Neodiprion lecontei: one gene and its partner. The protein of the gene in region 1 purifies or fractionates together with the protein of each later gene. This does not show direct contact. Links are inferred from orthologs where the notes say so. Each region holds a gene or a part of one and is shown in the gene's direction. Other genes may lie near its edges.

Region 1 (5,006 bases):
GGCAACGACAAGTTGAGATGAATATTTTGAACTTGCCTCAAAGTAGTCGTGCTAACTGACATGATGGTGGACACGAGTTTGTTGATTTGCGTGAAGCTTGGATTTTGTATGTGGAGACGATCTGAGGCGATTCTGTTCAAAGCCGTGTTATCAAGAACAACAACGCAGTCTGCGCATTGTGTCAACCTCTTCAGAGTAAGCAACGAATTGTACGGTTGCACGACGACATCACTGTGTCAAGACAAAGAAAGTTGATGTGAAAACATTAGAGCCTTGGTAAGTTTAACTTTGAAATTTGTAGTGAAAACCAGTTTAAAGAAAATCACCTGATCTCATCCTGATTGGGAAACACGCTGTAAGTTTCTATCAACTTTTTTGGAAACCTGTCAGCCAAGCTTTCCAGCATGAACGAACCCATACCAGAGCCAGTCCCGCCGGCAATTGAATGGCACAAAACGAATCCCTGAAATCAATCAGTCTGTTTACAATAAAGAGAAGTTCATGTGTGACGTAAAGTATTTGATATTTGCTGAAGTGTAACAGTTGTCCTGCCTCCAAGCTGTCGCTCCCATCTGCTTCTCTGTCCAAGATGTCAAAGATTTCCTCCTGTAGTTTCTCACCCTGGTGGTAACCCGACGCCCAGTTATTGCCTGCTCCACCTCCGTGTTTTGATAAATATATATTCTCAGGGTTGTAGAGCTGTGAACATCGACAATGAAGTTGTTATTAATTACTGGAAAAGTAACAGATATACTGGAAAATTAATGTGAATGTATTAAAATGATACCAGCCTTAGAGTAGGGCGAGTTCATGATCGTATGTATAACTCGAGGCTCCAAATCCAAAAGTACAGCACGTGGTATATAGTGTTCGTCATCCGATTGGTAAAAAAAGACATCTTTTCTGTCTGTTCCTTCTGTTGCATAATCCTCAAGAATCCCTTCAGGATTAATTCCATGCTCTGCACAAAGTCTTTTCCAGAATTCAAAACCAACTGAAAGAAAAGTTCAAACGATTTTGGATCAGTAACACATATTCCTCTCATAATAAGGTGTGGAAAGAATTATAGTTAGCAAAATAAGTGAGGGATAAGATGTTGAAGTGCAAAGGCATGGATAAATGAGCAATTTGTATGATCTTAAGAGCGATAAGCAATAGACACAAATATACTGCCAATTATGAGGACTTTGTTACAAAATTGAGCAACTGACCAAAAATAAGAATATTAAAGAAAGTATAACATGAAAATGTTGCAAAATGGGCATCAATTATGAATTGAATGCTAGCCGGAAAAGCAATTTAGATTATCTAGAACATAACCTCCAAAATGGGAAAATTAGTGCATTTCAGGTGTCTCTCAATACTCGAAAAATACTCACTCTGGTTGCCGCATTGGCCCAGCTGTAAGGTTATCATTTCACACGGCATTTTTACTCTTGCTTATACCGCAGCGAACAAAATAACCTGAATAAACGTCTCGACATGAGATTCACCTCAATCCTTGTTTACTACTGTTTTTTGACAGTTGACTTTTAGGACGCTGATTAAATTCAAACGCGCGCCTCTCTCCGGTAACTACAGACTCGACTGTAGCACTGTTACCAGATTTCGACAATTTCTCATCGAGCCTCTTGCTTAACTTATGTTAGGTGTCTGCAGCGCTTACTGGTGACCACAAGTGAAAACTATGAAATGGGTTAGATCTCTGATTCAATTCGATTGAAACGTAAAATAAATAATTGACATGCTCCAACGCCCGTGAAAAACATTATTGTTAAGCTCAACTTTACAATCTGGTAAACCACAAGGCCTTTGTTAATTTTTCACGAGATCCGTGCATAATTATAGCACGTCAATTGTTTATCAACCGTTCAATCGAATTTGAATCAGAGTTTCAGCCCTTTTCAAAGTTTCGGCTTGCGGCCACCAACCCACCAACATACACACACCATGGATCATGCGATGAACCTAGATATGTAAGTTAACAATAGATGTTGGAACGAAAAGCGAACAATCCTGTAGAAGGAATAAACAAGGAACAATAAATAGTGATATTAACCGTCTCAAGTCTATGGTATTAACGCAGGGAAAGCGTTAAGTGAAGAAAAAGATTGTGAATTGTGACCCAAGATAGAAGATTTTTGATCACCGCGCCATCGGTTTTCTAAACATTTATGTGACATGTTGTATGTTTTAAAAACAATAAAAAGTAGAAACGACAACGTACAGCTGTTTAGGAAGATAGACTATGGCGTCATTTACGTTCGACACGAATTTTAACGAAAAGGGCCCCGTAATAACGCCTCGAAAATATCGTGAACTTAAGCACCAACCGAACAAAGATTATTCCGAAGTAAGTGTTCTACTTATTAATTAATTCGTTGGAAAATAGCGGTTTGTTTCTCAGAAAATTTCACTATCACTTCTCGTGCAACCTAAACCTAACCTTGTATTCATTGTATTTATGCCAAAGGTAGTCGGCCGCAATAGAATTTCAGTGATACGCGACCGCTGATTGTCAGTCAACTAGTTAGCAAAAAATTGATTCATGAATCCCTAAATTTCAGTACGATTTTCCATTTCATTTCAATTAGACTGTAATCCCGTTTTATTGATATTGTGACAAAATCCATGCAATCCACACACATGGTAGCTTAAAATGCACCGATTATGTTATAAGGGAAGTCCGAAATATCTCTCTTCGGATCATATGTCTATGACAAACTTCTAAATTGATATCGAACAATTTCTCATAAGTTTGAAATAGTTTTCAGACATTTCTAAACCTTTTTTGGTACATGTTGTGACCATTTAAAAGTGACATGATATTTAACAGCAATTAGCCCGGATCCTCCAAGCTTTATTATGACCAGATCTCACTGCTCAAGTTATCAGCGCAAAGTCTTCATCTTTATACTTATTCTTTCAGGATGACTACGAAACTCCTGACTTGGATTTCGTCTATGACGATGCTGACACCCATGCCAATGAAATTGCAGAGCTGTATAGTTATACAGAAAAACATGAGCTCATGTATAATCTTAAAGTAATATATCTTCACTTTGAACGTATAAATATTGAATTAGATTTAGATTATGAAATGATGGATGAAACTATAAATCAAATCATGGCTCTTTTTTAAAGTAGATATATATGCAAAATACACATCTCAATTTTTGAATCAATGCAAATGTTGGTTATTATTTTGAATATTTTTTGCAACCATTGCTTCAGGCATTTGAAGAGCAGATGGAACAGTACAAACTGCAACCTTGGTGGCAAACACATCCAACCTCACAGCAGAGATCTATAATTTACAAGCTGCTGGACCAGCTTGAAGTGTCGAATAAGCAGATCAGAATGAAAGCTGCCTGTGCAATTCTCTACCTGGCTCAAGGATCCTGGGCAGAAGTACAGTCAGACAAGGAACAACAGGACTGGACGAGGACGAATGTCATGCTGCTGTACGAGGCTGGAGTCTTTCCAGCATTTGTGGAATTGCTCAACATCGAGATTGAGTCAGTTTGCTAGCTTTTTTAAACTCATAGTCTTTCCTCTGTGCGTCGTTTTTGTACCTGGTGGTAAATTTTATAATTACAATGGGATCCAGGAAGGCTCAGGCTATTACCAATATTATTATGCTTGCCTTTTCATTTCTAGAAACAGTGCAGCGGCTACGTCAGCTTCACGGAAGTTGGCTGTGAGTTTGGCGGATTCGGTTGACCTCAGAGTGATTCTATCTGTTCTCTACATCATTACCGAAGTGATGAGGGTCGAGGCTCTTGATATAGAGAAGAGTCCTTACAAAAAAAATGTTGAAGCTTTTAAGGAAGAACTCAGTACGTCAAATTCTTGAATTTCTCTACTCAATTTTCAAACCAACAATCTGTTCCTTCCTCTAATATTTCTTCTGTCTTTTGTTTTGACAATCTTTTCTTACAGTTCTTATTGTCCATCATAATTAAAAATACACCATACTCTGATTGCATAAACCTTTCTTAGACTGCTATAAGTGCTACAAAAGTGTTTTTATTTTCATTCTGTATATAGTAAATCCATACGGAGAAGAATTACTGGCGGTGAAACTTCTCGGAATGGCAACACGGTTTTGTAGCGGTTCGGCGTCACATTTCCCCATGAAAAAGGTCCTTCTGCTTCTCTGGAAAGTTATCCTAGTGTCGCTTGGTGGCATTGAAACTTTAAGGGAATTGAAAGCCAATTACAGAGCGGAAGCTGGATTGGATATTCAGGAGGAAGACACGATAGAAATCGCCAAGGGAATGAGATCTTGTTCGCCACCTGCTAGCGCCGCTGATCTGCTTGAAACACAGAATCAGAAAAGAAGCGGTCGATCTTTCCGTAGAGTAAGTTTTTTCATTCTACTTACCTTTGATTATTCTTCGGTTATGTGCTGTATATTCCTTCTTCTTGAGCTGATAAGCAGATCCGTTTGGTCTTTTGGTCATGTGGACTTTGAGCGTATAAATCAGATGCAATGTGATCATTGAGCGAACTAGGTCTTGCAAACGTGCGTTGTTGATATTCCTGTATAAGCTACCTGTTTTACTTAATCCTTAAAGAACACATAATGTTCGAAGTGAAAACTTATAATAAGCAATCGAAAGGCTTCGTATGATTTTAGTCAATCTATATATTTGATATTCTCAACAAGTTGTTTATACGAATACAATAATCTTCGTATTAATTGGAACAAAAAAGCAATTCATAATCTTATATAAAATGTAGAAATAACAGAAACTTTGATAAACCATATAGGCTAAATAATATACGGAGTCTGTATGGATTATGCATCGGAAACTTTAATTTACCATCTGCAAATATTCAATAATTTGGTTTACATCTTTTTGCTGTTTTATAACTGTCGGCTTGCCATTCACCCTTTCTTCTATCAATGATATTGTCGCATGTTTCCCATCATGTCTATAGGTGCTTACGAGTAAATCGTAAGATATTCCTGCATGTGACAACTGTCTCATTACGTTCTG
Region 2 (4,892 bases), on another chromosome or scaffold:
TTACATTAACTAAATTGCTTTTCTGTATATACGTATTACATTTAAGTGTTAAATTTCAAACTCGTCCAGATAAAATAATATGTATACATACTTTTCAACTTGTGGTGTTAGATCTAAAATAATATGCAAGAGAAATAATATTCAAAGCTATTTTCACAATTTGAACTCTTCTGAAAAATTCAATATTAATTTCTACACTTTCTATGATTTTCGACCCCATGTATACCATACTGCACCTTAAAGAACATACCTGAATTTTTCAAGCTTTCCCATATTCGATTAGCAATTTCAGATTTGTGTTCTGGTAATTCACTAGCCACCAAGTTTCCGCAACATCGTAAGAGCATAAGGGCTTGGGTACTACTAACAGATTCTGCAAAATTCATGTAAACATTAGGTATGAATTCTATCTGCAATAACAGTGAGTGGGTATTAGCCAAAACATAAATTCAAAGTAAATTAAATTTAAATCCTAAACAATGTAAATACATGAAAAATATCATTTAAAACAAAACTATCAATTCTCACTGCACATGTTGAGCTAATTTATTTGATGAAAATGAAATATAATACGACATTAACATATATCAAGATTTGGAAATTTGTCAATGATAGGAATTTAAGATAAAACCTAGAATTACAATTCAATATCTAGGTACAAGTATGCAGATAAACCCCAAGACTGCGGAATGAATTTGATAAGCTTATGAACCAATAAACAGTTATTTAGTACTGCATACACACATACAAGATATTGTCTCAATTGAATAAACAGTGAAAGTAAAAAACAACTTACTCGAAGATTGAAATATTTTAAAGATTTGATCCAATTTGGTCCCACGTATCTGTCCGTACTTCCTGACATCAGCTTCAGCTCTTCGCAGGGACAATTCAAGAGCAGAGTCACCTTCCACTTGTTTGACAGCCACTTGGGTAGCCAGAGACCTTTTGAGTGAATAATGAAACGGGTTTATTGCTATCTGTGTAACATGACTGTAATTGCATTAAAATATATTGAAATTAACTTTACTTACTTGACTAATGTTGAAGGTGCAATGCAGTGCCTTTGAGAAAGAAGAGTAACACAGGCATTATATTTCACGTGAGAGAAACTAAGCTTTGTCGTAAGTTCAGCAAAGTTGCGGAAGTACTTTGATGACCGTAATATAGTTGCCATTATTATACATGTGCAGATAGATTTAACAATTTGCTATCTCCGCAGGATAACGATGCCCGGGTTACATGAAGGAGTCACCGAAAAGAGCAGAAAAGAGCATGAGAGGTCGCTCACAAATAACACAGATGGCTAGAAAGCTTTGCGATCTTTGAGAATAGTGTCTCGCCATATAGTCACAATAGATGGCATCTCCTGTAGCATCATCAAAATCATAGATATGTGCGTTGGCGATGACTGATAACTTTCCATTACAGTTTTTTATCCTTCCATAAAAAATGGAGAGGCAATCTCATTTTAAATTCGATAATCCTTGTCAGGTATTCGTGGTCTTCGTGGTATCGACGGTTGAGTAAAGATTGCTTTGCTGCGGGTGTGGAAAATTTTCCAACTTGTCGCGCCATCTAAACTATAATCTGCAATAAAACGTAAGGTTCTTCTATTTTCCGCGGTACTGTTGCCGTAATCTAATATCTGAGGCAGCCGTTGCACGTCTTGTTGCCGATTTTTTAACGGACAAAATTTGTTTTCATCGGGTGGAGGTTGGTATCATTGTGTAGTCCGATCACAGGCACCTCGTCAAGTGACGTACTATTCGGTTAACTTGACTGAATTAATGACAGTAAATAATTGTATTGAAGCCGTGTAAAAACATAGAGAGTTATAAATTGTTGTGAAAACCGTATGTGCTGCATATTCATGTGCAGTAAGCCTAGTTCGTCGATTACCAAACAAAGCAAAGGTAGAATAGAATCGAACGTCAATCTCTCAGCTCGTAGGGAAGGAAAGAAAGAAGTTGCTGTAATGGCTGCCATGTCATGGAAATGAAGGTGCCCAGTCAAATTTACGCTAAAGTCGTCACTATGGAGCCTAGAATTAGAATGGAGTATAAAAGCAGCGGTACTTTGATGGGTCATGACCGTCATGACGAACAATTAGGTAACTTGGCAGTCGGGGCGAACACGTCCTACAAGCCCCAAAGTAGCGACGGCAGCAATGGTGACCAAAGGCCGCAATATTCAATACCAGGCATCCTGCATTTCATTCAGCACGAATGGGCCCGTTTCGAACTCGAAAGATCCCAGTGGGAAGTCGACAGAGCTGAATTTCAGGTCTGTCTGAATTCATTGTTCACTTGTCAGTACATTCCAATATATATCGCAGGTGTTTACATTGCCTTCATACCTTATGATTTTCCTATTTGCCCATTTGTATAAAGAGCCTGCCAAAGACGGTCGTCGCTCTGATATCAAATAGGTTCGAAACAGTTCGTAGCACGATTTGTTTCATGACACTGTGCACACTGCAAAAAAATTTTTACACTTTAGTCACATATCAAACGGATGTCAAGTGTCAAAATTTGATTTACAACGTATCCATACAATAATTGTCGTAAATTTTATTACATCAAACGTGTTTTAACAAATTCATAACATTTGACATCCATATCCATTTTATTAATTTATCTGATTCATAATAGAATGAAATTTACTAGAATAACAAATTTCAATATCACATGATTTACGTGTAATCATTGGAGACACTGATAGTCTGCGAAATGTAATTATTGAATTTTTACTTGCAAGAAGTAATGCAAACATGGTTACAATATTTAACTTGACAACACCTCTCAATGTAACGAATAAAGTTTCTTTACATGTCACTAATTCACAAACAGATGCAATTTAATCGAAGTATCAATGTTAACCATCAGTAACAATCACTCACTAGTTAACTTTATATCATTCAAACACTAGTAAACGCATGTACATTTCAAACAATACATCATATTTAATGATAATAACACAGATACATTCTCTGGACGTTAGTTATTCAAATCAATTTTCCTTCTAAATACCTATTCAGAAAAATATTAACGAATTATGTGACAGTATGCTTTAGAAGTTAGAATAAGAGTATACGAACAATTATTAACATCATGAACTGTTTGGCAATTGAACTATTAATTTTTGCTAATTCATTCACACAGATCTATACACAAGATGCTTAGCAAGTCACATCTGCCACAATTATCAATATTCGCAATATTTCTGACAATATTTTCATTAAACAGCTGGCTTATTGAACTTTGCATTTCAAATGAGCATACTTTTCAATGAAATTTCAGGTTCTTCATTACTTTGTTGCAATGAAAATTGGTAAGGGGATAATGTAGCAGTGAAGCAGAAGCCAGAGTTAACAGCGAAACATGTGGAACTTTTCAGAGATAGTAATTTTCAATAATTTGATGTCTATAGTTTTGTAAATCAATTAGCTATTCGTGAAATTCAATGATCTTTTGATTGTTGAGTCTTACTGGATCATCTTCATCAACCTTTGCACTTGCGGCTGCTAACTTTGGCTATGAATTTTACAATGAAATAAAAATTTAATACCTTCATGGGGCGTTTTTTCTAACATCGGCTTTATAACATAACTTCTGTTAGAAAAATGTTATATAGATTTTCATAGACTTAAGATTGATTGACTACCCTACCAGGAAATTTTATTGGGATGTTTAATTTACAGGCCCGAATAGCCTTTCTACAAGGTGAAAGAAAGGGGCAAGAAAATTTAAAAAATGACTTGGTACGACGGATAAAAATGTTGGAATACGTACTAAAGCAAGAAAGGTAAATTTAAATGAATAGAATGTCAAAGTTCGCCATTAGAGATAAAGTAATGAATCATTACCAATGTTATAAATTCTGATGTATAACCAAATTAAAAGCAGTCTGATATTTTTTGTGGGGGTATAATGCTTTGAAATGACATTTTTTCCTGATTTCTGTTTCATTATCAATCCTTATAAAAGACACAATTTTTTAAGTTTTCATTCAATATGTTTCAATATATGGATGTCAATGTTCAAGTAATAGATAATTTTTATATTAGCAAATTTCTTATGAATTGTACTTTGTAATAAAATACGTTTAAATATTTTTCAATTATAAATAATCAAGATACAATATGTGCTACAATTATAAGAACATCGCACATAGTGTCAGATTTATCATTTATTCAATACGTCTTTTCCACTTCATTTCAAATAAATTGAATAAATAGTTATTCTTTACAAAACTAGGGCAAAATATCACAAATTAAAGTATGGTACTGACCTCGTGGTACAAGGAGACATAAAGCCACCCATTTACGACGAGGGAAGTACTTGCGGTGGGTCTGATGGTGGTGGAGGGGATGGTGAGACTCCATTTACTTCTGTTAGCAATATAAGCTGGCGGCAGGGCCGACAGCTTCTGAGACAGTAAGTATGTTTCACGTCATATTGTCATTTTGTTATAAATATAGGAAATTCGATATTTTTATATTATAAAGCAACAGTTGGTTTTGGTGCTGCTTCAGCCATAGAATGATTTTAGCTTGAAACTTGCATAGCGATATATCTAGGGCCAATACATATCCGTAGTGACCTTATTCTAATTACAAATAAGGAATAAGTGATACCCATTTCATTGCAATAACAGCTCTAATTGTTTACATCACATTCGAAAAAATGACCAACTGTTTTTTTCCTTCTGCTAATGAAGTTACTGATATGTTACATAAAAATATTCAGAACTTTCTATGCGGTGTTGTTAGTAGTATGCTTTCATTTTTTTCTATCAGCATGGCTCAGTATGTCCACTGCAATCATCATGAAATTTTATTACAGTACCTATAACAATATTTTTTTGCACCAAAGCTCAAGTTTTGCTGT

Evidence for each region.
Region 2: the proteins of striatin-interacting protein 1 (region 1) and striatin purify together in Drosophila melanogaster (affinity purification with western blotting; 4 studies listed by BioGRID, with this or other methods). This does not show direct contact. The link is inferred for Neodiprion lecontei from reciprocal best matches to the Drosophila melanogaster genes Strip and Cka.

The regions. Positions count from the first base shown.
Region 1 is NC_060264.1:31,862,907-31,867,912, forward strand, and holds the start of striatin-interacting protein 1, read left to right. Parts: upstream 1-1,995; 5' UTR 1,996-2,248; coding exon 2,249-2,353; intron 2,354-2,929; coding exon 2,930-3,046; intron 3,047-3,234; coding exon 3,235-3,518; intron 3,519-3,660; coding exon 3,661-3,839; intron 3,840-4,050; coding exon 4,051-4,364; intron 4,365-4,796; exon of another isoform or gene 4,797-4,820; coding exon of another isoform or gene 4,821-5,006. Other genes in the region: tubulin gamma-2 chain, read right to left, coding at 37-231, 327-463, 553-699, 792-994, 1,380-1,428; uncharacterized protein LOC124294738, read right to left, coding at 4,821-5,006.
Region 2 is NC_060262.1:28,369,542-28,374,433, forward strand, and holds the start of striatin, read left to right. Parts: upstream 1-1,720; 5' UTR 1,721-1,992; coding exon 1,993-2,286; intron 2,287-3,703; coding exon 3,704-3,807; intron 3,808-4,259; coding exon 4,260-4,439; intron 4,440-4,892. Other genes in the region: leucine-rich PPR motif-containing protein, mitochondrial, read right to left, coding at 251-373, 797-945, 1,035-1,177.